Nothobranchius furzeri: one gene and its partners. The protein of the gene in region 4 interacts with the protein of the main gene of each other region in a pairwise test. Links are inferred from orthologs where the notes say so. Each region holds a gene or a part of one and is shown on either strand. Other genes may lie near its edges.

Region 1 (7,189 bases), on a different chromosome or scaffold from region 4:
GGCTGCGAAGGTTGTCATTAAACCAGGGAGTAGGGTTCACTGCAGGAACTGATCTGGTTCTGAAAGGACAGATGTTGTCCAGAATGGAGAGGCAGTGCTCGTTAAACTGAGAAGTTAAGGAATCTGGGTTGTTATCAGAAGAATAGGGTGGATCAAAAGCAGCAGAAAAATTGCTAGCTGTGCTCTCATTAAGAAAACGAGAACTAACCATACGGCGAGCAGGAGGTGGGGACGCAGAAACTGACAAGTTAAAGAAAATGCAATGGTGATCTGAAATATAAACGTCCTCAGGACAAACACTGTCAGCATTTAGACTCAGGGTAAAAACAAGGTCTAGAGTGTGCCCCCTGGTGTGTGTGGGGCCAGAAACATGCTGGGTAAAGCTGAAGGAGTCCATAAGGCTGGAGAAATTCATGGCAAAGTGATCAGAGGGATCATCAACGTGGATGTTAAAGTCACCAGCAATCACCAGTCTGGGCAGCTTCACAGTGGAGGATAGAAAGTCACTAAACTCCTGAAGGAAAGATCTGTTTGGACCAGGTGGACGACAGACCACAGCACAGTAGAACGGGTCCTTACGCCCGACTTTAATCAGCTGCAGTTCAAAGGAAGCAAAGTGACCAGAGGTTGTAGAGCTACATGAAAGATGGTCTCTGAAAACAACAGCTAGGCCTCCACCACGACCAGAACCCCGGGGCTGGCTAAGAAAAGAATAACCACTCGGGCAGAGTTCAATCAGACCAGAATAATCAGATGTTTGCTGCCAAACTTCAGTCAGAAACAGAAAATCCAGGTTTTTAGAGAGAATTAGATCATTAAGCAGGAAGAACTTACCATTAACAGAGCAGGTGTTTAATAGAGCCATGCTGAGTGAGGTGGAGGAATCAGAAACTACAGAAACAGCTGGAGTTAGTGGACGTAAATTAGCAGGGTTAGATCCACGGTGTTTATAAAAACCACTTATGGAGGGAACAGGAGGAGAAGCCACTGAGGAATGAGGATAAACCGACCTTAAAAAACTTGGACGGATGAAACGCGCCGCAACGCGGCCTGGCGGGAATGCGGAAGTGGCGCTCAGGTCACCAAACAAAGGACAAGAAGCTAGAAGATCACGCCGATGTTTACCAGATAAACCGCACTTTAAGAGGTCTTATTCTCACCTGGATTCCTGCTCGTTTACCTCTTTTCCTCCAACGTTTTCCCGGGACCGGATAAACATCGCTGGAAACGCCATGATTGGAATCATCGTTTGGTTCCGGGCCAGTGTGCCACTCAGGTAAACAAACAGGATTGTACATCCTCGGTGCATGTTGGGCGATCGTGAACGAACGGAAGGACAAAAGAGTCTGGCGATCATAGGAGATGGTAGCAGGGACACTACTGAAGAGGATCGCAGACAGGAGCAAGGCGGAAAAGAGGAGGCTAGTGGAGAAAAGTCTGAATGGATCAAGAGATCCAGATCAGAGATGATTGGACTCCTTGGCTCGGTCGAGGGTCTGCCTAACACTCGAGGTTATGCCTAACGGTCAGGGTTTTGCGTAACAGTTGAGGTTCTACCTAACAGTTGAGGTACTGGGTAACGGACAAGGTTCTGCTTATACGTTCAAGTTTACCGGTCAAGGTAATGCCTAACTGTCAGGGTTCTGTGTAAGGGTTGAGGGTTTGGCAAACAGTCGAGGTTATGCTTAGACATCAGTATTTGGTATCTGTGAGCAAAACTGATGCAGGCTTGAAAAATAAAAGTAGAAATTAATTAATAAAAAACACTTTTATCTCATCAACTACAGAACCTGCCTAAGTTATTTATGTTATATTTCTAGAGGATGAAACCTCTTGAGATACATCATCTCATTTTCAAGGGGGTCCTCCTTTGAAACACTAAACAATATAAGATAGAAAGACTATCAGTGGCATGAACTTAAACTAACAATACAAACAAACCAACAAAATTTAACGAGAGAAGAAAAAACACCTCGCCTTGACAACATGATTACATCAAATGCCAAACTCAAAAACAATTACAATGGCAACTTGTTAGCTGACTTGAACACACACCTAGAGATAAGGTAGCTGAAATATGTGTGGTTTTCTTTCACATTCAAAGCTGCACCTGGCTGCCCTATCACTATGTACCGTGACACTAGCCTAACGTGCAAGTACAACATTGTAAAATAAAGCCCCGCGCTGTTTGACGGACAAACTTGTCTAATTCTCTTTGTGTTTTGTTAAAATCCAAGAGCCACACATGCACACTGGGGATGACCTACCCGTGTGATCTTGTGCTCTGCCTCTGTTCGTCTGGGTAGTGTTCTCTTTGGTCGACACGTTCTCCTGAAAATACCGCAGACAACTGTAAGGACTCAAATTGCAGTGCAGATACAGGAACCATCAGTTGGACTACTTTTTTTTTATTTATATATATATAGCGCCAAATCACGACAAGAGTCGTCTCAAGGCACTTCACATAATAAACATTCCAATTCACAGTTCATTAAGCCAATCAGAAATAATGTTTCCTATATAAGGAACCCAGCAAATTGCATAAAGTCACCGACTAGTGTCAGTGACTATACAGCAATCCTCATACTAAGCAAGCATGCAGCGACAGTGGAGAGGAAAACTCCCTTTTAACAGGAAGAAACCTCCAGAGAATCCTGGCTCAGTATAAGCAGCCATCCTCCACGACTCACTGGGGATGGAGAAGACAGAGCAGACACACACACACACACACACACAAGTAATGTGTCTATAGTTATATTGTGATGTCTTAGTAAATATTGTATTTGGTGAAAGATAAACTTTATTGTATTTATTCTAGTGGATCTATAATTAAACGGATAAACTAGTAGTAGCACATCCAACGTCAATGAAAACAAAAAGTTATTATCAGGAGAGAGAATGTATTAGTGGTTAGCAGCAGTGTGCTAGACGATGGCCCCCTCCATGAGGCCACCTCAGCTCTGACCAGTAGTTTGCCTGTTGTATTAATTTTACATCCCTTTTCACTACTGAAGCAACACTTCATGCAGCTTCTATGAGCCAAAGAAAAACATCAAAAACCAATCAGGAATCAAGAAGGAAATGTGATATCTGTTTATTTGTTTACTTCAGTTCAAACTATTTAGAATTCTGTCATTTCATCACATTAAGTTTGTGTTTTATTTCAAATACCTTCAGCTTTATTCATTTTCTGAATTTTTGTGTTGAATTGCTTAGAAAATGAATCATAGGACAACATCAAAATAAATGAAAAGATTCTGTATTTTTTAAGCCTGTTTTACACATTCAATGTTATTTAAACGGCATCCTGTACTTTTAAGAAGTATTGTTCTGCTGAAATTTATCTGGTCGTTTTGGCACAAGTAAACAGAAGAATGAATCGTGATTTATATCGTTACCCCATGTGCTTCAAATTAAATTGCGATACAGATTTTAGCCATATTGCCCAATCCTAGTCCAGCTGGTGACAAAAAGGCATGCAGCGAGCTTCAACAAGCTTCACTTGTATCTTTAGTTTACCCTGGAGAGAGCAAATGAAGCCAGACAGGGTTTCTGCAGGTTTAAGGGAGCCAAATTTAAGACTTTTTAAGACCTTTTTTAAGGCCACTTTGACCAAATTTAAGCTATTTTTAAAATTAAATTTAAGCTATAATTTCCAGCTATTGCCTGGAACCGGTGCTAACCATGTCGCGAACGTGGGATTAGCATCCTGTTACCATTAAACCTGCACTTCCCCATGGCGCAAGCTCCCACTAGCTTAACCAGCTAATGTGCTCATCTAAAAACAGCCCCCTTTCACAACCAGCTGAACGTGTACGGTTCCGCTTACGCCAACATCGTACACAGAAAATGCTGAACACTAACTAGAAATTCACGAAAATTTGACAAAAATAAAAGAATCTAGTTTATTGAGTCTTTGGTAATTTAAGACCTTTGGAAACTGGATTTAAGGATTATTTGTCATTTTTAAGGATTTTAAGGCCTTAAATTTGGGAAAGCTAATTTAAGACTTTTTAAGACTTTTTAAGGACCCGAGGATACCCTGGCCAGAGTTCTTTCATTTGGTTTTGTTAAAGCGGTCTGCTCTGATGGCTGCCAACACACTACCTGCTGTGACCTCCCCCGACCTTTGTGAGAATAGCTGTGTGTGTTTGTTGGTTTTACCTCCAGAGCGTCAAAATCTACCCCAAACTGCTTTTCATAGAGCATGGCCTGGAAGTCCTCCAGACTGCAGTCGATACTGTCCAGATAGTCCATGAGCTCCACCCTGTCAGGAGACACAGACAGCGTCATCTAAAGGGAAACCAGAGGGGCCTTTGGCTGAACTCGGATCAGTGTGCCTTTGGTACATCAGTGGTAGACTTCTCCACAACCTCAGACCCCGAACCCAAAGTGACCCGTTTGAAGCCAGAGCCCAAGTTTTAGTTTTTAACTGTTGCCCAGCGACTACTGCTCATCGTAACTGCATGTAACAAGCCCTCATCTTTTCCTGCACCTTAATACTGACTGAACTTCACACACAACCCAGATCAGTAACTGGCTGTCCAGCAACTTTCTTGTTCTCAGCGCCAACAAGACAGAGGCCCTGATCGCTGCACCCCCGGAACTTCAGCCAAAAATCGAGCAGGAAATTGCCTCTTTTTGCCCATCAGCCAAGGCCAACATTAGAAACCTGGGAGTTATTTTTGATCCTGCTTTAAGTTTAGACTCACACATCAAAACCATCTCCTGCTCCTGTTTCTTTCAACTGAGAAACATTTCAAAAGTCCGTAAACTGGTTTCTACTGCAGATCTGGAAAAAACCATCCATGCCTTTGTATCATCACGCTTAGACTACTGTAACGCTCTTTTTACTGGTCTCAGCAAAACCTCCCTCTCACGCCTTCAAGCCATCCAAAATGCAGCAGCCAGACTCCTAACCAAATCCAGCAGACGAGCTCACATCACTCCAGGTTTACAGTCCCTGCACTGGCTCCCGGTAGAATATAGAATACAGTTTAAAGTTTTAGTGCTGACCTATAGAGCTCTTAACAACCAGGCTCCAAGCTACCTATCTGAGCTTTTATCCCCACACATCACCTCTCGGAACCTTAGATCCACATCTGAAAACCTCCTGGCTGTTCCTCGAACCAGACTGAAAACCAAAGGGGACAGGGCCTTTCAGACTATTGCACCCAGACTTTGGAACAGTCTACCTTCAAATCTCCATCTCTCCAACACTGTAGAGGTCTTTAAAAATCATCTAAAAACTCACCTTTTCATCCAGGCGTTCCCTCCCTAAATGTTCAAAAAGATGGCTTTGTTCGGGTTCACACCTTCACTTTGTTTATACTCATGATTTTATTTTCTACTTTATCACTGCTATTGTTTTTCTGATGTTTTTATTGGTTAGAGGTATTTGCCCTGATCTTTATCATGTTGTACAGCGCTTTGTGATTTATATCTGTGAAAGGCGCTCTATAAATAAACTTTTACTTACTTACTTACAACCCAACATGTCTTACTTGAGTATTTTTTTTGTCAGAACAAACTTTAGCATCCTTTATTTGTAGAATTTGCACACAGACATATCTTCCCTCATGTATCTGCTGCCCAGACCAGACTCTGTTGACGACATTAGGAGCAGGACTCACTTTCCCAGAAGGCTGATGTTTTGTGAAATTGTTCCGCTCTCGTTGAGTATGGAGTCCATCATCTTTAGCGGATCTTCTAGGCTCAGACCAGAGGGCTTATTGAGCAGCAGAGCGTTGCTGGTCGCTCCGCCGCCGTTCGTCTGGTTCTCTGCTGCTGATTCTTTAGCTTCAGCCTGTCTGAGGTCACCTGTACAGGTGGGGTTGGCCTCCGTCTCAGCTGGCAGCCCCCCACAGCCATCCAGTTCTACTTCCACAATTTCTAGATCACTAAGGAAGAACAACTCAAATCAGGCTCTCTGATTAGGCACGGCAACAACAACCTGGAGGTTGGTAGTCTCACCCGTGTTCACAGGCTGGAGTTGCCTCTGTGATGTCCGCGCCATCGTCAGCATCATTCTCAGTCAGGTCACAGATGATGACATCATCTACGATGTCCCCACCCTTCACACTGTTCAGACGCGGACCAGCATCGCTGACCGGCATCTAAACAGCAAACGGTGGGGGTTAGTAGGTATTTGGTGAAGGATTTACCAACATGGTAAGACTTAGGCCTAGTCCACACGTAGCCGGGTTTTTTTAAAACGAATATCCGCCCCTCCAAAAGCTCTGTCCACACGTACCCGGATAAATACGTTGTTAAGGACATGCCAGACCTGTAGGCGGCAGTACTTCCCCCGTTCTTGACCTCGTCCTTCGTCTGTGGTCTTCCACAAGGAGCAGTAATTCCTCTTGCAAAAACAAACAAGCAAAAAGCGCTTGGACGATTGATAAAGCGAGCGCAGCTCTGAGGGCGTCCATGCTGTCGGCTAGTGTAAACACAGGTCGCACACGTGATGTCAGCATATTTTTGTGGCGGAAAGTGACGTTGCGGCCCTTAAAACTCCGGTTTTGTCCGTCCACACGCAGACACCCAAAACGGAGAAAACGCAGATCTTCACTTTGGCCGGAGTTTTTAAAAAGATCCGTTTTCGTGTGAAAAAACTCCGTTTTCGTGTGGATGACAGGCCAAAACGTAGAAAAATATCTATGTTTTGGCAGATCCCCGTCTACGTGTGGGCAGGGCCTGATAGGCCTGGACGTTTTCCCCACAAAAAAAAACTTTTAAAAAACTGGTGATTTTATCTGGTTCTCAGCAGGTCATCACACCCATAAACAATATGGACACTTCCACCAAAAGAAATGTACATTTTGTGGCCAACCACACCCTGCCCCACCCCCAGTTTTTGTTGTAAAATTGTAAATTCTCCTAAACTTGCTTGAATGTTGACTGCTATAATGCTATAACAGACTGACCTGGTCCACACGTGCTTTATCCTCATAAATCTGATGAATGTATTTGGGTTTCTGCCCATTGCTGTTCATAAGAATTGACCTGTAAAAAAGGAAAGCATGAGCTGGAAGCAGAAATATATCATGGTTTACTGGTCTAACACGTTTCACCCTCACTAAACATGTTTTTACAGCATAAATCCAAATGGCTGTTTTACTGAAAAGATGCACTACTTCACAAGTACATCAACTAAATCCCTTTAAGTGTGCCACGTTGTCTGGGATTC
Region 2 (7,683 bases), on a different chromosome or scaffold from region 4:
GAGAGGAAGAACATGCAGTGGTGCCATGCTCCGGTCTGCTGTGCAAAGTTATTCAGCAGCTCTTCTGCAGAGAAAAAAAGGAAGTAGGAGACCTTTCAGAAGTACACACTTTACTACTTCACTGAGAGGCAAACTGAAAGTTAGATACAGAAACACAGGAAATGCAGAAAACCTATGCAAAAAAACTAGACTACACACATCTTATATACATGTATACAAATATCTTGTCCAGAGATCCACTGGATATTTCTGTAACGGTTAATTTTATCTGGAGTTCAGAATTAAAGACAGATAAGCCTTTAAAATGACTTAACTGGAGACATTTTCAAACATAAAAACATTGAATAATACTTCTATTACTAGATTAACATAAGAATAGGTAGAAATCCACCATCTTTATTTTAGAAGTTTCTTAAATTCATATTGGCTTAATTTAACGTCACTGAAAGGAAATGAGGAGGAGGACGGATCGACTCGCATTAACGATTTGAGTGGTTAAGATTTAAAATTGAAGCAGATGATCACATGATCCTACGTCACAGATAGGGCTGGGGGTAAACGATTATTTTTAAAACGATTATTCTGACGATTATTTTATCGAATAGTCGACTATTCTAATGACTATTTAGAAAATTAATCTAATGATTATTTTTCTATTGCACAATTAACAAAAACCAGAAAATCTCAAATAAATTCCTCAAAAAAATTGATAAATTGTTACTGTAAGAGAATAAACACTACAGGCCTTCCATTTTGTATAACACTGCGTTTATTGTGTTGGTTGGTTATGTTCTGGTGACATGTAGAACTTGGGAGTGCAGGCTGCTGCCTGAGAGGTGGTAGAAAATGGAGTGTCTCCATGCTGCTTTGTTTTGGTCACTTATGTGCGTGAGGCGAGTGGTCTTACGGGTTAAACCAAACTCAGGTGATATTTTACACTAAACCGAAAACCCACAACACTCTAAATGTAATAAAAGGGAGATCTGCACCACAAAAAAGATGAACTCTAAACCAAAACGTAACAGCTTATCCCAACGCAAGAAGCTGTTAGCGAAGATGCTAACAGTAGCTTTACCAACATTAAGTTCAAGTTACCAAGTTTAAATAAACCAAAAACACCCAGCAGCAAACAGACCAGCACGGAGGAGAGACTGCTACCACCAAAACAGCTCTCCTAATGTCTGAAAGAAGCTCCTTAATGAAGGGAGAAATGCTCCCGGTGATGTTCTACATCTGCGGTAGAGACGAAGCAGCGCATCTGACCCCGGAAGTTGTTGTCCGTTGCTGGGAGACGAAGGCGGGCAAAACAGGAAAATAATCTAGTAGTGGACGGACATTGTTCCGGGTCTTCGGTGTTTGGCGGAGATGTTAGTGAAGGCGGAGAAGAGGGCGAACTAGAGGAAAAACAGGCAGATTCCTCCTCTATTTACAAACTCCTGGGGATGCAACAAGTGGGCGCGGTGCGTCGACTTCCGGATCTGACGTCGACAAATTTTTAGAATCGAGCCGTCGACTTCGTCGAGGCTTCGCTACAGCCCTAGTCACAGATAAGCTCTATTTGGCATGAAATATTTTTTCTCCATAAAAGATTCCCTGAGTTAATTTAAAGAAATGACAACATAAACATGATGCAACTAAACCTTGTGTAGGTGTAAGTGATGCTGTGATGGATAAAAATGAGCAACATTGCTTTTTGCTAAACAGATTTCTGTTCAAATTATTTTGCAATATTTAGGCTTCTCAAATAATTTATTTATGTGAGTTTAAAGTGATATTTGCATCTATTTAAAATTAGATGTTGCACAAACAAAGTGTTTATGTTTTAAAGGTCCAACACGCTAACGGCTAGTCGGACAGCAGCCTGGATCAAAATCTTAAAACGGATTACTTCATTGCAGTTCGTATGAATGTTATGAATGTTAAACTGAGGTCAGTTTTGCATAGCATGCTTAGCTCCATGATGTTTTTTTTTTTGCATGAATATACCAGCATCAGTTAAATGTGGCCTTTTTGGTGCATCAACGGTCAAAATCCAGGAATTCTTTAAAACAGAGTAAGGCAAAAATGATGTCAATGTCAAGGTGTTTTAAATAACGCTTGCAAGAACAGCAAATCTAAGAGATTGGAGCCATTATTGTGGGTTGATTCAGACTAGCTTAGCATATCAGTCCCATCACACTTGAACCCTGTTTCTTCAAACAAAAGCGGGTAATGATGATGACAGCAAAAAAAAAAAAAAAAAAAAAAAGTATATATACAACTTTTACACTGAAAAAACTCTAAAATGGCAGAAATTGTATTTTAATCGTAACATTTGTACTTTCTAAAGCCAAGCTATTTAATGACTACACTCTCCTTTGAGTTCAAACAACCATAACCCCAAATAATAATGAAAGTTTAACTTGAATTTATAAAGAATTGTGAATGTTGTGCGAGGTCTAAAACATTTTACAGTAATGACAAGACCCAAGCACCCGAACTATGTGCTGTTTTCCCTCTTTACGTCACACTCACCTATTTCTCTTTTCCGCTCATTAGTCGTGCAGTTATGAAAGAACTCTGTCATTAGGTTCTCCAATGCACGCAGGGATGCCTCCTCTGAAGCCTAAGCAATGATAAAAGAATAAAGGGCAAAGTTAAGCTAATTGTTCTGTAACACTCAAAGCACGAACCACTGAATTTCTCGCATCCACTGCAAAATCAGGAAACAGCTACAACAAAACCTATCCTCAAATTTAAATATGTATTAGGCATTTTTGCTCATTTCCAACAAATTCATTACATGCAACAGAAATAAAGTCCGGAGGGGTAGATACCATCAGTCGCAGTGGGCCCCTCCACATGTCTGTACCTGCAAACTTTATCATGCCCCTTTCTCTGGAACTATTACAGATCTGTGTGGGGATTTTCGCAGACTCTGTATCCCACACAAGCAGATCTGCAATATAAATATGCGATCTGGCTTCTGTTAAGGAAGGACGTCATAAACCTTGACCAAACCGACCCTTCAAAGACCATAGTCCCTGTGGCAGGCAAGTAGACAGGCTTAAATTCCTCAAATAAGCCACAACTTGCCGAGGCTCAACAATAGCAAACATCCGATTTTGTAAGAAGGGCGTCTTCATGAAGCATGAAATGGTTCAAACCTCAAACCGTTAGCTGGCTGATCAATCACAAATTCAATCACAAGGCAGTAGCACTAAATTTACGCACTTTATCTGCTCTTTCACTTCCCAAGACGAGCAACAAATGATCAGCTGCTGGGAAATATGACAGCAAAACAATGACTGATCAAATATGACATGCTAAATTTGACTCACCATGTTCAGTTGGCTCAGAAAGCTTTCTTCAGTCCACTTAGTCGCTGATTAATAACCTTTGTAGGCCGACATTAGTTATCTCTCTCTCTAGTACAGGCAATGCTAACGTTAGCTAAGGTGTTGCTGGTAATCGCAGACTGGCTTCATGATCTGCACGGCTGCTTAAATCCAAACACATTTCACCAGAAAGGGCCGGCGTCCTTGACTTTGCTTTAAAACAACACATATAAGACAGATGTTTTTGCCTTGCCAAAAGAAAATACATTTACCACACGAGTAGGTTGACCGTTGAACCACTTATCACAAAATGTGTTAGCTGCATTGTCATTTCTCGCCAACATTTACCGTTAAGTCGGCAATGTTCTCTTGATTTTTGTCGACAATTGAGCTAGTTTCCACTCTTCTAGCTCCGACACAGCGTGAAGCATTAATTACCGTCCAATGTCTGCCATTTCGACGCAAAATGACCAGGTTGCTAACGCTGTAGCGGATGGCTAAGTTGTTAGCTTTTCTAGGATGAAGACAATTATTTTCGTTAGCTTAAATGTCAGCCGTAGTCATGCTTCTGTGGTTGCTGCTCAAACCGTCTTTGCGTTTTATGATTCCTCAACAAATTATTAGGCACATTTACGATTTCAACCTTTCAACACTAAAACGACATAATTGTATATAAGGCTGGTGCTGTTATTTCCCCTTTCCCTTCTGAACGATTTGGGCGGCTCAAGTCAACAGCTAGCTGTAGGTTTAGGGTCTGCTTCGCAACTTCCTCTTTTGACACAAGCGGCCCAATCAGCGCGTGAGAAGTCAGTGACGTAGGAGGGACTTGATCTCCGGGGAGCTCTGTCACGCTGCGCCGCTACTTTTACAGGTTATTTCCATCGACATATAAATATCGGTTATCTCCGATGGTTATCTCTCTCACACAATCAGGTTAACACCAGATACTCAAATTTTTATGAAATCATCGATTAAATCCTAAATTTTAAAAGACATAAGTAATCTTCTGGGATCGCATTTTAGTGCATATCTAAATCATACACTAAAATATCTGGAAAACAAAAACCTTTAGACTACAAATATATAAAAATGTGAGAAGTTGTAATACACGGATAAACAATATTATTTATAATTATTATATATTTTTTACATGAGCATTACCTTATAATTATTAAAAATGCACCCCACTCCCCTTTAAAAATGCAAAGAAATTGTTTGCTTTTTGTCTGTGTGAATGATGTCATGTGTTCAAAATAAAAATACTCATTTGATGCCAACACTCTGGTGAAAATGTAAGTGGTGTTACTTGCTTTTTTAAAAAGCTGTGAAATATATAAACATAGAGTATAAAAACAAACCAACAGCAGCTTAGAAGGTAAATAAAATACATTCCAAGCTAATATAATTAGGCTGATATATTAAATCAAGGTTCACATCATGTATGACAATTTATTGCCTGTAAATAAACAATGGCAATAACCGTACCGTAGAGTATAATTTACAGATTTCGAATAAGTGCATGTCATCCTAAGAAATTATATATATATATATATATATGTATATGTTTATATATACACATACTCACACACACCTTTGGTTTTTAGCCTGATGCCAAAGTGTGGTGTTTAGATAAATACAACAGCAAATGGTTTTTTCCACATTAACAACATTAGCATTGTGTTGTGTGTGTGAACTGGGCTTATACTGAGTGTTTGACATTTAAAATGTCAGTCTCTCATTTCTAAGGCTTAACATGTTAGGCCAAAATAAAAGAAGGTATTAACTGGATTCCTAGACAAATACAACCTCAGACAGACAAGAGAAAAACATGACATAGTTTATGTTTATTCATTTAGCACACTTTTATCCAAAGCGACTTACAATTTATAACCTATAGGGCATGTTGTGATCTGTGGGGGAAACCGGAGTACCCGGAGGAAACCCACGCATGCATGGGGAGAACACGCAACTCCACGCAGAAAGGCCGCAGCTGAGCCAAGTTTCGAACCTGCAACCTTCATGCTGCGAGGCAACAGTGCTAACCACTGCACCACCATGCAGCCTGGTGTATACCCTTATACATAGTGGTATAAGACCTTATTTCATTTGGACAAAATGAGCCTAAATGTCGAACTCCTGGGGTAAAAAGTCCATACTGCTTTAATAAAAAAGGAGAAGAACTCCTCTGTACATCTACTTATTCTATAGTGACATGTGATCAACAGTTGAAGCTCGTCTCTAAATGCTCCATGCATCAGTACGATGAACCTTTAGAACTTTATTTTATTTTTGTAACTACCTAATGATACTGTAAGATATTTTATTGTTGCCTTTCTGCATCTGTAGGGATCTGGCAACAGCTAGATGATTTTCATGCATTACTAGAGGTCAGTGTACTTAGTTTTTGCTATTGATAAAATAAAAAAGTACTGAAAATAATTTAAAATCTTCAATATTTCAATGAAGAAAATTTCACCTTTTTAACATTCTCCAAGGGATTTCAAGATATGTTTTCGGGGATTACTTTATTGTCAGCATCGCTCCCTGTTGCCACGACGCTATTATCTCTCTGACGAGTGTGCGTTCTTTGTTCTTGTATGTTATAAGCCCAGGCTCTGTCCACACCTCGACCCTCGACCCGGCAGGGACTCCAGTCTGGAAGGGGAAAACGTCCGGCCACCACTAGGGCGTCGTCAGAAAGCTCAGCCTTCAGCTTGTCCTGCAATAATGGAAGCTATCAAAAAACAAGGAAATAACATTACTGATTATGTAATAAAAAAAAATCAAGCTTATAAATGTAACACTAAATTGTTATTTTAACCTAAGAATTTAGATTAAATCTGTGTTTATTTTGATAGAAAATATTAACTTAAATTAATGATTTACTATACACCAATTCAAGCTGCCTTGAGGTTTATCAATTTAAAAACAAAGACATAACTTTATGAAATATTCTTCACATTACCTACCACACTGGGAGCCAAAAACACTGTGATGTTCTTGCATTTTGTCAAGTCAACCTGTGAGGAGATACGAAGCGAAATATGAACAAAAACACATATTTTGGTTCCTGCTATAGTTATACCATTATCACATAAAATGATCCAATTTAAAATATTCAGGAAATCTTTTTGAAGTGAGTCAACACAAATTTAAATCCTTACTTACGTCACATAAATAATAGTAAAAACATAAGCCAACCAGTTAAAGAGCTTAAAACTGTTAGCTTTGTAAGAAACTGATTTATTCTATAGTTATGGTCGTCCTTTGAGCTGCGGTGTCATGTAAACACAGCAGATATACAGAAAGACTGACAAAAACAAGAGATCAGTTAACTTCAAAATGTTGCCAAGCTTATTAGCAGTTTAGTTTGCAGAGAAAAATTCTGGGTATGATCATTTATAACCTTTATTTGGGAAAGCACACTTAAAATGAAATAGAACTAGTAGATGAAATAAACAACTGGATGGTTGTGATACTGAATCTACAGCAGGAAAGTAAAAGTCAGACCTTCCAGAGATCTTCTCGTCTATATGACACTTTTCCGTGATGACCTGCTCTCCAGGCGTGAAAACGGGCAAGGCGCACCAGCCAGGGGTTTAGCTCATAACCAACTGCTGGACTAAAACCATGGCGATAAGCTTCCAAGACCTTTTGGGATTAAATGACAACAATTTTAATAAATATGTAAAATAATAAAAAGAAAAACTCCATCAATCTTGATTATACACTCTTATTTACAATGCGACCGTCTCCCGATCCCAAATCCACAAGATCCCCCTTTCGACCTCTCAGCAATGTCATAACATTTTGTACTTGAGCTTTGCTGGCAGGAATGTAGGGGACCTGGACAAAATAGAGTGGAGAAGAAAAGGAGGTCAGACTCTAAACAAAATGTTCTACACACCGTACATACACACACCTGTAGCCTTAATGGGACTTTTCTGAAGCCTGGCTGGAGGATCCCCACCCACATTGCGTATACAGCAAGCCCAGTGCCCACAGCTATCTGAGCAACCCCCCAACCTCCGAGGTTCCTGCTCCTGAGCTCTGTGAAGGCCTCATCAGACGTGTCATCGTCCATTCCTGCATGACACGTGTGTTTAGTCCATGAAAATCCAGTTTTATCAAACACACATATTTACATATAACTGTATGAGATTTTGAACAAGTCAGTGTGAGTAACTTGTCCAAACCATTGTGTGCTACATCTAATAGTGAGGACAGTGCGTTACTCACTTGGTAATTAGCAAAATTTTTACTAATTTTACATTTATAAAATTACTAATAACACTATAAAAATAATAAATACACTATGTAATAATTTTCTGAAACAGTTCAATTTGATGATTGACAGAAAAGTTAT
Region 3 (7,905 bases), on a different chromosome or scaffold from region 4:
GCTTTTGCTGGAACAAACACAGCTCCATAACAAGGAACTGGGCTCACAGTTGTCGCCCATGGAGACTTAACTCAACCAATTAAACAATTGCTGCGTCTGAAGCGGCTTTGCTGCTGAGAAATATTTAAACAAACAAATCTCCAATCTTCTACTCTGACACCAGCCACCTAGGCGGACTGACAACAAAATTAGCATGCGCAGTCGTTCTTCGTGGCATTTGCTTCATTATGTGCCCTGACACTTTTAAATTGCTCACCTGCGCAAGCCTTGATGAGTCACTGACTCTCTGTCCTCACTGAGCATCCACTCACAAATGTGCACAAAAACAGTTACATGTTCAGACCATCAGTTGGACAGAGAAGCCGGTAACCTCATCAGCCACAACACAAAGCAAGGCTGACATGCATGCAAACACCATCTCCTCCCTCAGGGGGAGTAGCACGCGCACACACACACACACACACACACACACACACACACACACACACACACACACACACACACGCACGCACGCACGCACGCACGCACGCACGCACGCACGCACACACACACACTCACACACACACACACACACACACACACACACACACACACACACACACACACACACACGAGTGACAACATTAGTGACTTTACCTCAGAGATGCCAACTGACACATTAGGACCAAGAGGGAGTGTCTGGTTTATTTGCTGCAAAATGTTTACATAAGTTTGGATCTCTGCAAGGTTCTGGACAACAAAAGAACAGAAGACATTTTAAATGTGGAAGGGAAATATACAACACAGCAAACTTAGTTGTTTTCTAGAATAAACTGTCTGAATCAGTCTAAGCAGAAAGGAAATTGGAAATCGACTACTGTGTTCATTGTTAACATTCATAGTTAACATGGATTCAGTAAAGTCCTTTTGTTTGCCCAAAGACATGGTCCAATATATCCCGTTGGTCATCGCACACTGGTGACATTGGTCCTATCCCCGTGGGGAGTGGTGAGCTGCAGCAGTGGCTGTGCTCGGGAACTATTTGGTGGTTTAACTCCCCAATCCAACCCCTTAAAGCTGAGTGTCAAGCAGGAAGACATTGGGACCTATTTTTAAGGTCTTTGGTTTGACCCAACCTCAATTTGAACCCATCTCCCAGCCCCAGGGCGGACACATACCACTGAGCCACTGAGCTGGAAGGTTTTCTTTTCAAATCCATTTACACCAGTATGGTGTATGACTCTGATAAACATCATCTAAACATTGTTTCTCCAAAGAGAAACTTCAGAGTTCAGCAAATCCAAATGTTCACTGTAAAGCCTTCATGTCCTTTGTCAAGGTGCCTAAACACAGCAGTCACGGGATTAGTTCATCATCAAAAGCAGTGCTGAATGAAACTTAAAGTGAGACAAACTGCATGGGCACAGGAAATCTATTGAAAGTCCAACTGATGCACAGAAATTTCAGGTATTTTTTCCTGCCATTGTGTTCCAGTGGTTTCTGCTACACAAAAGGACATCTGTTAGTTTCTGTCTTTTCAGTCATGTGATGACACACAAATGAAGTTGCTAAAGCCGCGGGTTGATCACAGCACATTTCCTGGCACTCTCTTTAAACCTTTGAGTAATACTCTTGTTATTTTCACGTTATCAAAGCGTAAAATGCATTCTCTGGTTTTTATTTTTCATGTTGTGTTTTTTTTAATGTGAACTCTGCATCACTTTTCAGTTCTTGTGAAATAAAGCAATACTACTAAATTATTTAACAAACAAGCTAACGGGTAATCCCAGTAGCTAAAGAAATGATAAAAACACATCCTGTGTTGCTTTAAGTTTCCTGAGTTTTGGCGTTTTTATTTTGCTGCAACCAGGCATGAGCATAAATAGAAATGACTGCATTGTAACAGCTTGGTTACCTGCCTGAGGAACATATCTGACTGCAGACACATCGATATTTAAAGCTGCTGAGATTTCAAAATTACAAAAACAAAATCTGATCCCAACCATATGTCTTTTTGAGTCATTCCCAGTTTGTGAATAGATTTTGTGGATTACTGGTCTCTCTCCCAGCTGCCTCCCTGTCCTCCTGCTGCTGCACATGGGTGGCACAGAGAGCTTAGAATGGGGACCAAATGCAATCTTATCTGTAGCTGTGCAGATTCTGGGACATTAAGTCCATTTTCTGCAGAAATACTTTCCACGTCATGGTTCTGTCACAATGTAAATGATTATTATTTTTGTTTAAAAGAGATATTTTACTTGATGATTACTTTTGATACTCTAATTAAACCTGGTTTGAATCGGTGTAATGTAGCAAATTTTCCAAAGAAATTTAGAAATTTACCAAAATTATCTATTGTTGAAAAGTGGAGCTGATCAAGATCCTCTTGTGGTTACAAACTAAATATAATCAAGAAGATGACTAAAACTTTATTTCGTACATATTCATTCATTTCAAAGTTTATTTTACTTTTGCTGACCTTCTTGTGTCTGTCTCTGGTGGAATTGATGTCATCTTGCAGAAACTGAGACTGGATCTGATACTCCAGATTTCTTAGCAGAGCAGTGTCAGCCTCCTGCAGCGGAAAATAAAGAATGGCACATTCAAACAATTGTGCAGAAAAACTGTTAGAATAATAAAAAAACACACATATATATATATATATACATATATATATATATATATATATATATATATATATATATATATATATATATATATATATATATATATATATATATATATATATATATACATTTTTCCACTATTGGTGAAAATAAACATTCTTTGTGTCAAACAATGGCAAAATCACTAAAACGATGTCATAAAGTACCTTATTTAAATTTTCCAGAGTGCTCCGCAGCTGCTCTTGTTGATCACACTCATTTTTATATCTGATAAACAAAACATCATGATGCTTAGTTCAGTGAAGGTTGACACAAAAGGCATGAAAATGGACCAAAATTAAAGAGACAAACATTTTCTTTCCAGCAAGTAAAAACAACAGAAACAAAACAAACTAGAAAACTGAATAATTTTCTGAATATTTTGATTTTTAACGATTTTGTTTGAGAAACGATGCACTGCACGCACCCAGTTTACACATCAGTGAATAAATGTCCAGCTGTTTTGAAATATCTATCATTGAAACTAAATTTCTCTTATGGAATTTCGTTTTTTCCTGAATGAGGACTTCCACAGGTTTTTGGTCCTTGTGCAACATTATAAAATAAAAATGCAGTAAAAACAATTTATTTCTGTTTTTATAAAAGCAATACTTGTGTTATATGCAGCTCACATCTCAGTATTTCCTACTGTTTATAATCAGTTACTGGACTTCTACTCTTTCTAATTTCCTCACAACTGTATGTTTCACATTTTCTTCTGTTTGCACAGCTAAATCTCATTGAACACTACCTTCATGTTACTTCGTTTTTCCTCCAGAGATTTTACTGTATCCCTTTGCTGCTGCAACAGAGAAAACTGCTCAGGACTCAGACAAAGGTTGTGATCTATTATTTTTACTTTCTTAGATTTCTAAGCCATCACTGACTTGTTAGCTCTAATTACATTGAAGGACATTGAAGCACGCTCCATCTTCGGGATGAAACTTTGGCCTTTGACTTTGAGATAAAAGCTACCCTCCTCCTTACTTGTTGGTAAACTCATCCAGCATCCGGCAGGATTCCTTCAGCTCTCGCTCGAGTTTGGCTCGGTCAGAGCACAGCTCCCTGATGCGTTGCCTGTTGATACCAATCTGCTCTGTAAAGGTTTCCTCCAGGCCACTGGCCTCTTCCATCCGTTGCAGTGTCTCCAGCTGTTTACGAAACACGGCGTTCCGCTGCTCCAGGACTCTGGCCCGGTTGATGTATCGGGCAAAGCGACTGTTGAGCTCCTGCAGGCTCTCCCAGCCCTGGATGGCTGAGATGCCGGCAGAGGATTCAGGGTCCCTGGTGTCAACATCAAAGACGTCGGAGCGCTCATACTTTTCCTTGCGCACCTCGCGCCGGTAGCTGCTCTTATACATGGTGGTACACTTTCTCTGGGCTGATGGTCTCCCAGGAGTTCTTGGTCCCTTTCAGCACCGTTAATGAAAGAAAACTTGGGTGCTCACCCTTGGCTGTCTCATGCTAGACTAAACGCTGCAAAGCAATGCCTGGTAACCAGTGTGAGCCCATATGGCTTCTGCTGGCTCCCATGGCCTGTGTCACCAGTCCAGGACCTTCCAGGGTTTATTGTTGCCTTTGTTGTGGAGATTTGAAAGGCGATTCGGTTGATGACAATGCAGAAGCAAAAAAACAAACAACTGGCCATCCTGCGAAAGAACTGGGTTGACACCGACCATTATTTTGGTTCTTAGTCAGCTGCTTTGATACAGCGAGTTGGAATGCTGCCCCACTGCTGCTCAGAGGAGAAATTTCATGCCTTGCAGTTTGTACCATCACAGCAATTATTTTATTTTGCTGAGACAATGGGCTTGAAGCAGATGCACTGCAGTTAAATTTTTAAAAAAGTTTCAATTTTTCACATTTTTCTCACTGATCTTCATATATCCATTTGTTCTTTCCTTTTTCTCTTTCTTTTTCTACATTGTGACCTTTTACAGACAGAGTGATGGAAAAAAGAGACAAAAGAGCTCTTCTCCTGGCTCGTTCTCCAGTCTACAAAACAAGGTCATCCAAAGTGTCTCTCAAAAGGAATCTATGTAGCTGTCTGGGAAACAGCTGAATAAAACGCACCTCAAATGGCTTTACATCCGTGATTTTACATCCGGAATAAAACAAGAGCAGCCCACAGGTCACGGTTGGTCATGTAATAAGGAAATTACAGCGAGAAAACGAACCAAACAGCAGATAAATTAAAAGATTGCAATATTTTCCAGGTTTTCATGAATGATAAAAGGTATTGGGGGGGGGGGGGGGGGGGTCAGTATTGTTCCTCGAGGCAAATTAAATTGTTTCATTGTGATGTCACACTCTTAACCTCCTGAGACCCGAATTTGTACTTGGTGGGATGTAAAATTGTAAAATAAATTAAAGAAAAAAACTGAAACGAAATATATTTTTAACTTAAAATCACTGTCAAATGTTTCTAAATTTTAAAAATAAGAAGAAGCCAATGTCCTCATATGTGGACACAGGGTCTCAGGAGGTCAGATCTACACACCTTTACCCAAACTCTGCAGAGAAAAGCACCAATAAATGCAACAGACAATCCCCAAAGGGGAAAATAAAAAAGCCATTTTTAGTTTAAACCCCCTGCTGTTCTGTTTTTGTCTTCCACATGAACAACCTAAACTTGTGCAAAGCTAAATGGAGTGGAGGCGTTTTAAAAAACACATCTGCCATCAGCTGGGGGGAAAAGATTCACTAATATGAGAAATTCTTCTTTCTGTCTAATTTTACAGTGACATTTGTGTATTTTTAACACTTGCTTGAGCCCAGTTCACTTTGGTGTGGCAGATTTTGAAGTAACACTGAATTTTGAAGGTTTAAAGAACCCTGAACTAGATCTCCTTTTCTGTTCTTCACATATATAATGGAGTGTTTTGTTTCAGGAGAGGATACTTGAGTAGAAGGATCATTAAAGAGCGCCTTGAAAAAAAAACTTTAGAGCTGACACATTGGGACCAGATCAAGAGCTATATGACAAATCAGCAATTTGAGGGATTCAGAGACACCACTGGGAGGCTGGTGTAGAGCTAATAGTGGACATGGATCTCATCATATGTGGCTGCCGAGAGTTGGACATGATGACAAACTGTCAAATTTGACGCGTCTTTCGATTTCATTGTTATTCAAATTAACCGAGTGCAGCAACGGTGTACCTATTCACTTCTTCTTAGTGGAATTTGCTTCTAGGGCGCACGCATGCACTGCTGCCCTCCGGTGTTCAAACTCGTGGATCTTTGACCGCAGTGAACCAGCGAAGCCCAATATCCTCGGTCAGCTTACCTAGTTTGAGTAGTTTCATTACTCAGCAGCCACACCAACACGTTATATTTCAACCCATCTTAGACCAAGCAGTGTTATGGTAAATGCATAGATTTTTCCCCATGTGACAGTGTGAGTGTCCTGTCACCGTATCCCGATTGATCATGCACCCTGGCCACTTGACCACGGGGAAGTCCCTTTGGCTGTCTGGTTAATGCGCATGGCTCTCACCTGGGAGTCTGGGGATCGAACCCCACCCGGACCCCTGTTTCTCCACCTTGCCACACCCATTTATCCACAAACTATTAGTGAAAAAATTGCAGTTGAGCGACTCAAAAGTGGAGCAGCATCAACTAAAAGACCTGCTGTGTTTCTGTGGTCTCTCTCAGAGATCCACATGTGACCAGCATGACTACAGCCTCACATCGGAGCCGGTCCGCCTGGCCCAGCTGCTCCGGTAAACGGGAACAGCCTGCTGCCTGCTCTAACATCTGTTCCTAGCTCTGAAGTCATGTGGCTCTTAAGCTCATTAATTATTCAGCATTTCAAGCATTTAATTCCACTTAAAAAGAAGAGTTACAAAAAAATTCACCCCCTCAGAGTTGTGAGAAATGTAAACTAGATCTATTAAACCTAAAATGCTTTTTTGAACCAGGCTGTAAACATGTTTATTTCTGCTGTAAAATTGGCATTTTTAACATGGGAGTCATTGAGGATTTGCTCACTTCTGGTGCCAGCCCCTAGTGGATGAGCGTGGAACTGTAATTTTTGCCACTTCCATGATGACTTCAGGTCTGAGAGCCTGTGTTCAGTTCAATTTCTCCTGTTGGATTGGAGGGGGAGAGCATTCCATATGATTTCAGAAATCTTTCCGGGTCAGGCAATTTGGAGGAGGGAGCAGATGGGTAAAAATCATTTTGACGAGGCTCTGGATAGGTCAATCAGGGTTTAATGACACTATGCTCATAATGGGTAAGTGCCAACTTCAGTTGCTGTGGAGTTGCAGAAACTGTCAAACATGTCCTGAAGTTCTGTGATAAGTATGTGTAGCATCCAGAAATGGTCAGCTTTCATCCATAATTTGGCCTTTTCAGAGAGAGGTCATCTTCAGACATTAATCGGCCTCTTTGCGTCTTCCAATCTTCCGAGCTGCAAGAAATGTTCTACAGTGCGTGTTATTTATTTATTTATTTAAACATAATTTTATATGGAGGAAAAACCACTTGAGATGAAACATCTCGTTTTCGAGTGGGTCATCCTTTACAACAAAAAGAAGAACAAAAATTAAGAGCAAGACAGCAGAGCAAAAATCGAAATCCAAACATTACAACAATCATTTAAAGACACACACACACACACACACACACACACACACACACACACACACACACACACACACACACACACACCCTCAAAGGCTCACAATACTTCATCCCATGCACACGACATGACCCCAACTAGCAAGGACAAAACAAAAGCAACAGCCAGTTGAACAAATACAATTAGTAACATAGACAATTATTCCTGAAGATGATCGACCAGAGCCCTTCGAAAAGTTGTGAATAATGATAAACAACAAATAGATAAAGGAAGATTATTCCAATCACATGGAGCTTTGAAACCAAAAGCATGTTTCCCTACCTCTCTTTTCACTCCAGGAGCAACAAAAAAGATCTGGTCATTATGCCGCAGGCTGTAAAGTGAATTATAGGGAATTAAATGTATTTTAAGATAATCCGGATAATTAAAGTAAAAGGTTTTAAAAATGAACTGAAACCAGTGAAACTGTCTCCTGACAGCAGGTGCGAACCAGGACAACTGCCGATACATCACACTTCTATGTGTCCTAAATGGACAACGAAGAACAAAACGACAGAGGCTATTATAAGCAACATCAATAGAGTGCAAACAGGAGGATGAAGTGTTCTGATAGATAATGTCAGCATAGTCCAGAATAGGCAGAAGCAGCTGTGTGGCGATTCGTTTCCTAACC
Region 4 (7,408 bases):
TCTGATAGAATAAGGGATGTTTCTCAATGTCAATGTGCCGGGCCTCGCATGGCGATGTCTTACGAGGCCAGGCGTCCTAGATCAAAGAAAACAGTCAAATGGAACACTTACTTCACGTGACATGTATACTGGAAATTTGCCCCCAAAGTAGATGCTGGCTACTGAGCCGCCATCCTTTTGAAAATAACACGCTGCATTCTGGGAATTTTTTGACCAAGGCTAGGCTATTCAATTTTATTTATATAGCGCCAAATCTCAAGGCACTTCACATAATAAACATTCCAATCCAGGTCAGTTCATCCAATCAGAAAAAATGTTTCCTATATAAGGAAACCAGCAAATTGCATCAAGTTAGCAATCCTCATACTAAGCAAGCATATAGTGACAGTGGAGAGGAAAACTCCCTTTTAACAGGAAGAAACCTCCAGAGGATCCTGGCTCAGTATAAGCAGCCATCCACCACGACTCACTGGGGATCAAGAAGACAGAACACACACACACACACACACACACACACACCAAGCATGGTTGCATTGTGATTTCTTAGTAAATATTCTATTTGGTGAAAGATAAACGTTATTGTACTTATCCTAGTGAATCTATAATTAAATGGGTAAACTAGCAGTAGCACATCCAACGTCAAGGAAAGCAAAAAGTTATTATCAGGAGAGGGAGAATGTTTTAGTGGTTAGCAGCAGTGTGCTAGACGATGGCCCCATCCATGAGGCCACCACAGCTCAGCAGAACATCATTGTAGCTTCTTCTGGGGAGAAAAACACTTAGAGAAAAATTAAAGTTAATAGCTGAAATTGCAGAAAATAATACAGTTAAAGAGCAGATTGTAGAAGAAAGTAGTAGAGTGTGAAAAGTGGTCAGTGTATCCTCCACCAGTCTAAGCCTATAGCAGCATAACTACAGAGATAACTCAGGATAACCTAGCCTTTTTAGATGGAGGCATGTTGGAGGCAGGGCAAGGGAGAGCCGTCTTTACCGACTGTACACTCCACCTACCTCTACTCCCCCACTTGTCCAGATGTAGGCTAACATCAGATTTTAACCATAGGCCCTATCAAATAAAAATGTTTTAAGCCTAGTCTTAAAAGTAGACAAGGTGTCTGCCTCACGGACTAAAGCTGGGAGCTGGTTCCACAGGAGAGGAGCCTGATAACTAAAAGATCTGCCTCCTATCCTAATTTTAGATATTCTGGGAACCACCAGTAAAGAAGGCACCTCCCGTGTATTCTTGCTTAGCTAGCTAAACAGCTAACAAACGAAGAACAGACACCTCGGTAGCACATGATGATTGGAACACGCCTTGGCGGTACCTGATTACGTATCTCCTAGGCAACCGGGGCAGGACCAAGACATCAAGAAACACCGAAGAGTTTGAGATAAAACTGGGTGTTAATTGGCAAGTATCTAGCAATATAATATGTTGCTATACAGGAGAGACGATACGATATATTGAGATACTAAAAGGCTGACTATTTTTGCAATTTTTAAGTGAATTTAACTGGGAAAACTCAGACAATTCCAGTGTTTTCGCAAGATATCGGTCTGTCAGACTGAAGGAGGAAGAAACTGCTGCCACCTAGCTGTCAGTGTTTGATCTGCACCACACAAAAGAAATACAAGAAATGTTGGCATGTAAATTCTCAATAATAGATACTCTGCTTTTAAATATCGATTCTGTATCATAAACCGAAATGTTGTGATATTTCAGTGCATTGAATTATTTTTACATCCCTAGAGTGTTATATGAATACATCTCACCAAAATCCAGAAACTGCTTCATTGAAAGAGGGGAAGGAGAAAATCTGGAGTAATAATCGATATCCTTCCCTACTGACACGCTGTTCCTCAGAAACCTCAGAAGCCTCATGTTGACCGGGTTTACTAGTTATTCGGAGGAAGCAGGTGGCTTCCGAGCCACACTTAGTGTTATTTAACGACACTAGCTCGTTGAGCAAACCCAGCAGCTCGCAAACACGCTGTTAAATTTATTATTGTTCAGTTACGTTGCTAATTGATGCAGGTTCAGCATCCATAACTACGGCCGCGCTGCAATGTTTGTGTATCGTCCGGTGTGTACTTCAAGTGATCGCTGCTAAATCCACCGAAGCAGAAAAGTCAACAAGCTAATTCAAAGAGTTACTACAAAGTTCAAGAGGATTCATCGTTGTTGCCTGGCGTATACCGACACGAAGTTCTGTTGAAAGGCTGTATTTAAAATTATTGTCAATATTGACGGTAAATTGCGAAAATAAAGACGTATAAATGCACGATAATGTCCTAAATAATGTCTTTTATTCACGTGTGTATGAAAGAAGAAGAGTTGATAGTGCTCGTTATTCTGTAACTATCTTGCCTTTGCATACTCTTTGTAAAGGCCAAACTATATATTTTTCCGAATGTTTGTCTATCAGGCAGTCAAATGAGCCTATCATGTACCTCAAATCTAATCATAACTCTGATTGGATAAAACAGTTGCCAAATAAATTAATAGGCGGAATTATGTCCCTGCAGACAAAATTCAGGGCATACGAGAATGCCGCGTCTCGGGTGTCGTCACTTCCTTTAGGTGGCCAGATAATTGCCTGTTAAAGGAAATGTCGGTTCACAGGCCCACGTTTTTAGCAATGTGTTATTGATTTTGGCTCTATATTCCTCGGAAGGTAACGTTGATTAGCGTGTGATTTCATTCATTTCCTGCGTATCTGTGCAAAGTTACTTAAATAGACGCAGTGGGGATTTTAGGAACTTCAGTCGGAGGAGTTGGTCATAGCGACCCGCCAAAAGCCACAAGATTCGGCAAGGAAGTGGCCGTTTTAAACGACACGTAACGGCTGTGTTTAACTTCTTGTGAGGATAATGAGTGGCGGATTCAACTTCGGACAGAATGCAGGGTTCGCCTTTGGAGCGCAGAAGACCACTGCCGCTGCCCCCAACGCGGGTTTTACATTAACCAGCTCAGCAGCTCCGGGAGGGGGGTTCGCCTTTGGAAATGCCAACCAGACCAACCCCACCGCCTCTTTCAGCTTTGGCACCCCAGCCAAGAGTTCCGCAGGCGGCACGGGGTTGTCTTTTAGCACGCCTACTGCCTCGTTTGCTCTTGCTACCCCTCAGACAACACCGGCAGCAACAGGGTTGAGTCTGGGCTCTGCAGCAACTCCGGCTGCCGGGTCAGGGTTCACCTTAGGCAGCCTGCTAACCTCGCAGCCCCCAGCTGCTGCACCAGCAGTAGCAACAGTGGCACCAAGCGGGGGAGGATTCACCTTCGGTGCTCCCACACAAGTCCAGCCTCAGTCAGTGGTAGCACCCACAGCCACGACAGCAGCAAGTGGCATGTCCATTGGAGGGTTCAGTTTTGGTGCTCCCAAAGTCCAGGTGACCTCAGCTGCAGCCCCCACTGCTGCCACAGGAGCGGGATTCAGCTTTGGAACCCCTGCAACCACCGCCTCTGCAGCTCCAACCACCCAGGGTGGAGGTTTTAACTTTGGGATTAAACCTTCATCAACCCCAGCCCCTACAGCAACCACCCAGGTGGCTCCGACTCCAGGCCCTACTCTGTTTGCGACACCCATAACCACCACCGCCGCCACTACAGCAGCAGCTCCAGGATTCATGTTTGGTGCAGCTCCAATTTCGGCTCCACTTTCATCGGTGAGCACTGCAACCACCACAGCAGCTGGAGGGGGCTTATCCTTCCCACTCAAACCTCTGAGTTCAGCAACCACCACCTCTGCTCCGGCCTCCATCCTAACTGCAGCCGCCACCACAGGCACAGCTACGGGCTTCATACTGGGACTCAAAACTACATCCACCACAAGCACAACCACAACAGCCACAACAATCGGCACCACCACCACCACTGCTCCTCCTGTGATGACCTATGCCCAGCTGGAGAGCCTCATAAACAAGTGGAGTCTTGAGCTGGAGGACCAAGAAAGACATTTCTTACAGCAAGCGACTCAGGTGAATGCCTGGGACCGCATGCTGGTGGAGAACGGAGAGAAGATCACATCCCTGCACAAGGAGCTGGAGAAGGTGAAGCTGGACCAGAGGAGGCTGAACCAGGAGCTGGACTTCATCCTGTCCCAGCAGAAGGAGCTGGAGGACCTGCTGTGTCCGCTGGAGGAGTCCGTGAAGGAGCAGAGCGGAACCATCTACATGCAGAATGCCGATGAGGAGCGTGAGAGAACATACAAGCTCGCTGAGAACGTAGACGCACAGCTGAAGAGGATGTCTCAGGACCTGAAGGAGATAATTGAGCACCTGAACACATCCAGCGGCCCAGCTGACTCCAGTGACCCAGTAAGATCAGATCTAAGTCATCCTTAAACCTGTCATTATGATGTTTGCCTTTTTCATTCATCTCTTTCTCTCTGTTTTAGCTCCAGCAGATTTGTAAAATTCTCAACGCCCACATGGATTCGCTGCAGTGGATCGACCAGAACTCGGTTCTCCTGCAGAGAAGAGTGGAAGAAGTGTCTAAACTCTGCGACACCCAACGCAAGGAGCAGGAGAAGAGCTTTCGTTTAACCTTTGACTGATCTGTTGATGAGTTTAACTCTGCATAAACATTATGCTCTTTTGTTTGGATTTACTCATTTCACTTTCTGTTTTGGTTTTATTAAGATAAATATTTTCTCAATAGTTCTTTATAAAGTTAATTGATCATATTAAATGTTCTGGGTAGTGTGATTAAATAAAACAATTGCAGTGGATCTCATTCAGCCTGATGTGGTGTGTCATGACTCTAATTCTCACATCTAATCTGAAACATGAAAGATCTACCAGACTTTTTGAGTTGAAATAATCTAAATTACTTAATCATTTTAGAGCTTTAACTGTAATTTGTCTCAGTAATGATCTACAAGCTGCTTAATTCTACCTGAGCCCTAGATTAGATGTAAAAACACAAGGAGGCGGGTGCAAGAAATGATAAATGACCCGCACTTGTATAGCACCTCTCAGAGTAAGGACTCCAAAGCACTTTACACTACAGTGTATCATTCATCCATTCACACACTGATGGTGATGAGCTACGATGTAGCCACAGCTGCCCTGGGGCGCACTGACAAGCAGAAGCATTGGTTTTCTTAACAGCTCCAGATAAGGTAGTAGAACATGTTGGCCAACCTCACAGGTATGTTGCAAAACACTTTGAGATTTTCATTCTAATACAATGTTAAAAAATACAATTCACCATTTCTACAGTAAAAAATTCCCAGGAAATTAAACAGCCATGTCACAAATATAAAAATGGACTACAGTTTGTCCTAATTTGCAGAATCTGCTAAAAATAAGAGCTTCATTGTCATCCGCTGCTTCCCACCCAAAGCATCGAGATTGATTGTTCCATCATAGGCTGGTAATGTCTGCAGAATCCACGAATGGGGAAACATGAAAACAGTTATCCGTGCTCTGTAAACAATAAAAAATGTTAAGTCTTGCAGGGAATTTACACTTGTTATGCTTTTTTTATTTTTTAGCATCAGAACAAACAAAAGCATCTGAAGAGTTTGAAATGCATTAAAATCAGACAGTTTCTGTACAAAGACTTCATCACTAAACTGTTTCAATGGAATTAAAAATTGTCTTTCGTCATACAATATCAGGGGCGGTTCTAGACCAAGTTTTCCAGGGGGGCCACAGTGGGGCCAGTATTTTTTCATGGGGGCGCAAGAAAAAAAAGGGAAAAATTAGGGCAATATCAAAATTCTTTTTTGTCTCTGCCATATGACTAATTTTGTGCTTGTGCACAATTTTACCAAAGGAAATTCCTAGTACTGTGAAACTACTCACTTTTTTGTTCTCTTCTTTTTAATTTCTATCTTTACTATATTTTGGGGATCAAATTTATCAAAAATTTTCCTTTACTGTTTTCATCTATGATCTTTTACAGCTGTATTTTATTAAAATAAGATTCAAATAAATTCATAATAAAAGGCAATGAACAAGTAATCTATTACAGCGAATGCAGTAATGGTTTACTTGTGAAAGTAAAACTGGCATGTCTTTATGGTACTCAGATAACAATTCTGAATGCTTCACCGCAACATGAGACTTGAGTAAAAAAATAATTCTAGTTGATTGTTATAGTTTGTGACTTTATTTGAAGATTACATGTACTGTACATATGAAAAACAAACATTCAAACAAATTAAATATGTGCACAATACAATTTCTTAGTGCAGTGCTTTTTGTAGTCAAACACACACACACACACACACACACACACACACACACACACACACACACACACACACACACACACACACACACACACACACACACACACACACACACACACACACACACACACACACACACACACACACACACACAGAACAGCATTATATAAAGCTGTAACAAAAGTACTTTGCATGTACTGAACCCCCCCACCCACCCCCCTCAGTTGCTTTTTTCCGTAAATCCACACGGTGAGTCAAACACACTTCCTGCACTACTTGGTGAGCTAAAATGTCTGCATGCATGACAATAAGTAGAGTCCATAGCAACAGAATATTTAACCCAAGGATGACTTTCATACCAGCTTGGCTGAAAGCTGCGTCTTCTGTCTCCTATTAATGTCACTGGAAATGTCCTCAAATGATGCTGAGTAGGTGGGCCACCCTTACACTTGCTGATATCGGAAAGAAAATAAATGTTAGCATGAGGATAAAAGTCATAATTAGTTAATTCAGTCTTATTTTATCTATTTATTAAATATAAACAACAGAAATTTTGGTCCAGAGTCAGCATGCTTCAAATGTATTTTACACACAATAAGAGCTGCAATCACAGAGGGGTTGTTCAACACCCACAAACCTGACGGTAGTGTACACGGTGCACATGACAGAAGATGTCCCTCATTTTCTCCTCACTCTCTCCCTCACAGCCTACATCTTCCTCCTCCTCACTCTCAGGGTGGACAGCCTCTGACCTCTCTGGTTCCTCTCCAACCAACTCCTCCTTCTCTCCTTCATCCTGCTTCTCAGCTCCCTCATGACTTTCATCCTCTCTCTGTCTACGCTGTTCTTTACTAACAGCGGTAAAAAAGGACAAAATGTCCCTTTTTCTTGTCATGGCCGCTGATGCTTCCAGTCAGTGCTGCGAGAAAGTCATAGATAAATGAATACTGTGATCCAATCTCAACGTGTCTTAAGGCTTAAAATGCAGCAACTTTATTTTTATTTTACAGTTAATGTTACAAAGGAACAACACGTCAGTATTAACTGTGGATAGACTCAGTTAGGAACTTAAAAGTAAATGACAGAAACGCGCAACTACGATCAAAACACTGATGTCAGGAAAATAAACTGTAAATGTACTGTAAGGTGGCTGCTGTCAGGTAAAGGATTTAGATTTTCATAAACCAGATGTGGACCATCTTCATGAATAC

What was found.
Region 1: the proteins of nup62l (region 4) and hsf2 interact in binary tests that used the Homo sapiens proteins (3 or more experiments, as listed by UniProt). The link is inferred for Nothobranchius furzeri from reciprocal best matches to the Homo sapiens genes NUP62 and HSF2.
Region 2: the proteins of nup62l (region 4) and xpo6 interact in binary tests that used the Homo sapiens proteins (3 or more experiments, as listed by UniProt). The link is inferred for Nothobranchius furzeri from reciprocal best matches to the Homo sapiens genes NUP62 and XPO6.
Region 3: the proteins of nup62l (region 4) and filensin interact in binary tests that used the Homo sapiens proteins (3 or more experiments, as listed by UniProt). The two-hybrid records come from large-scale screens. The link is inferred for Nothobranchius furzeri from reciprocal best matches to the Homo sapiens genes NUP62 and BFSP1.

What each region holds. Positions count from the first base shown.
Region 1 is NC_091742.1:27,399,920-27,407,108, reverse strand, and holds part of hsf2 (heat shock factor protein 2), read right to left. Parts: intron 7,006-7,189; coding exon 6,927-7,005; intron 6,117-6,926; coding exon 5,974-6,116; intron 5,901-5,973; coding exon 5,634-5,900; intron 4,268-5,633; coding exon 4,165-4,267; intron 2,332-4,164; coding exon 2,268-2,331; intron 1-2,267. UniProt on the Homo sapiens protein: DNA-binding protein that specifically binds heat shock promoter elements (HSE) and activates transcription. In higher eukaryotes, HSF is unable to bind to the HSE unless the cells are heat shocked.
Region 2 is NC_091752.1:51,431,643-51,439,325, forward strand, and holds the start of xpo6 (exportin-6), read right to left. Parts: upstream 4,087-7,683; 5' UTR 3,666-4,086; intron 3,531-3,665; 5' UTR 3,324-3,530; coding exon 3,321-3,323; intron 2,606-3,320; coding exon 2,515-2,605; intron 65-2,514; coding exon 1-64. Other genes in the region: antkmt (adenine nucleotide translocase lysine N-methyltransferase), read right to left, coding at 5,818-6,051, 6,287-6,337, 6,828-6,968, 7,059-7,163, 7,240-7,401. UniProt on the Homo sapiens protein: Mediates the nuclear export of actin and profilin-actin complexes in somatic cells.
Region 3 is NC_091752.1:33,913,602-33,921,506, forward strand, and holds the start of filensin, read right to left. Parts: upstream 4,171-7,905; 5' UTR 4,007-4,170; coding exon 3,633-4,006; intron 2,874-3,632; coding exon 2,813-2,873; intron 2,555-2,812; coding exon 2,459-2,554; intron 730-2,458; coding exon 637-729; intron 1-636. UniProt on the Homo sapiens protein: Required for the correct formation of lens intermediate filaments as part of a complex composed of BFSP1, BFSP2 and CRYAA. Involved in altering the calcium regulation of MIP water permeability.
Region 4 is NC_091754.1:20,874,474-20,881,881, reverse strand, and holds nup62l (nucleoporin 62 like), read left to right. Parts: upstream 1-2,680; 5' UTR 2,681-2,871; coding exon 2,872-4,314; intron 4,315-4,394; coding exon 4,395-4,553; 3' UTR 4,554-4,732; downstream 4,733-7,408. Other genes in the region: pdk1 (pyruvate dehydrogenase (acetyl-transferring) kinase isozyme 1, mitochondrial), read right to left, coding at 1,774-1,882. UniProt on the Homo sapiens protein: Essential component of the nuclear pore complex. The N-terminal is probably involved in nucleocytoplasmic transport.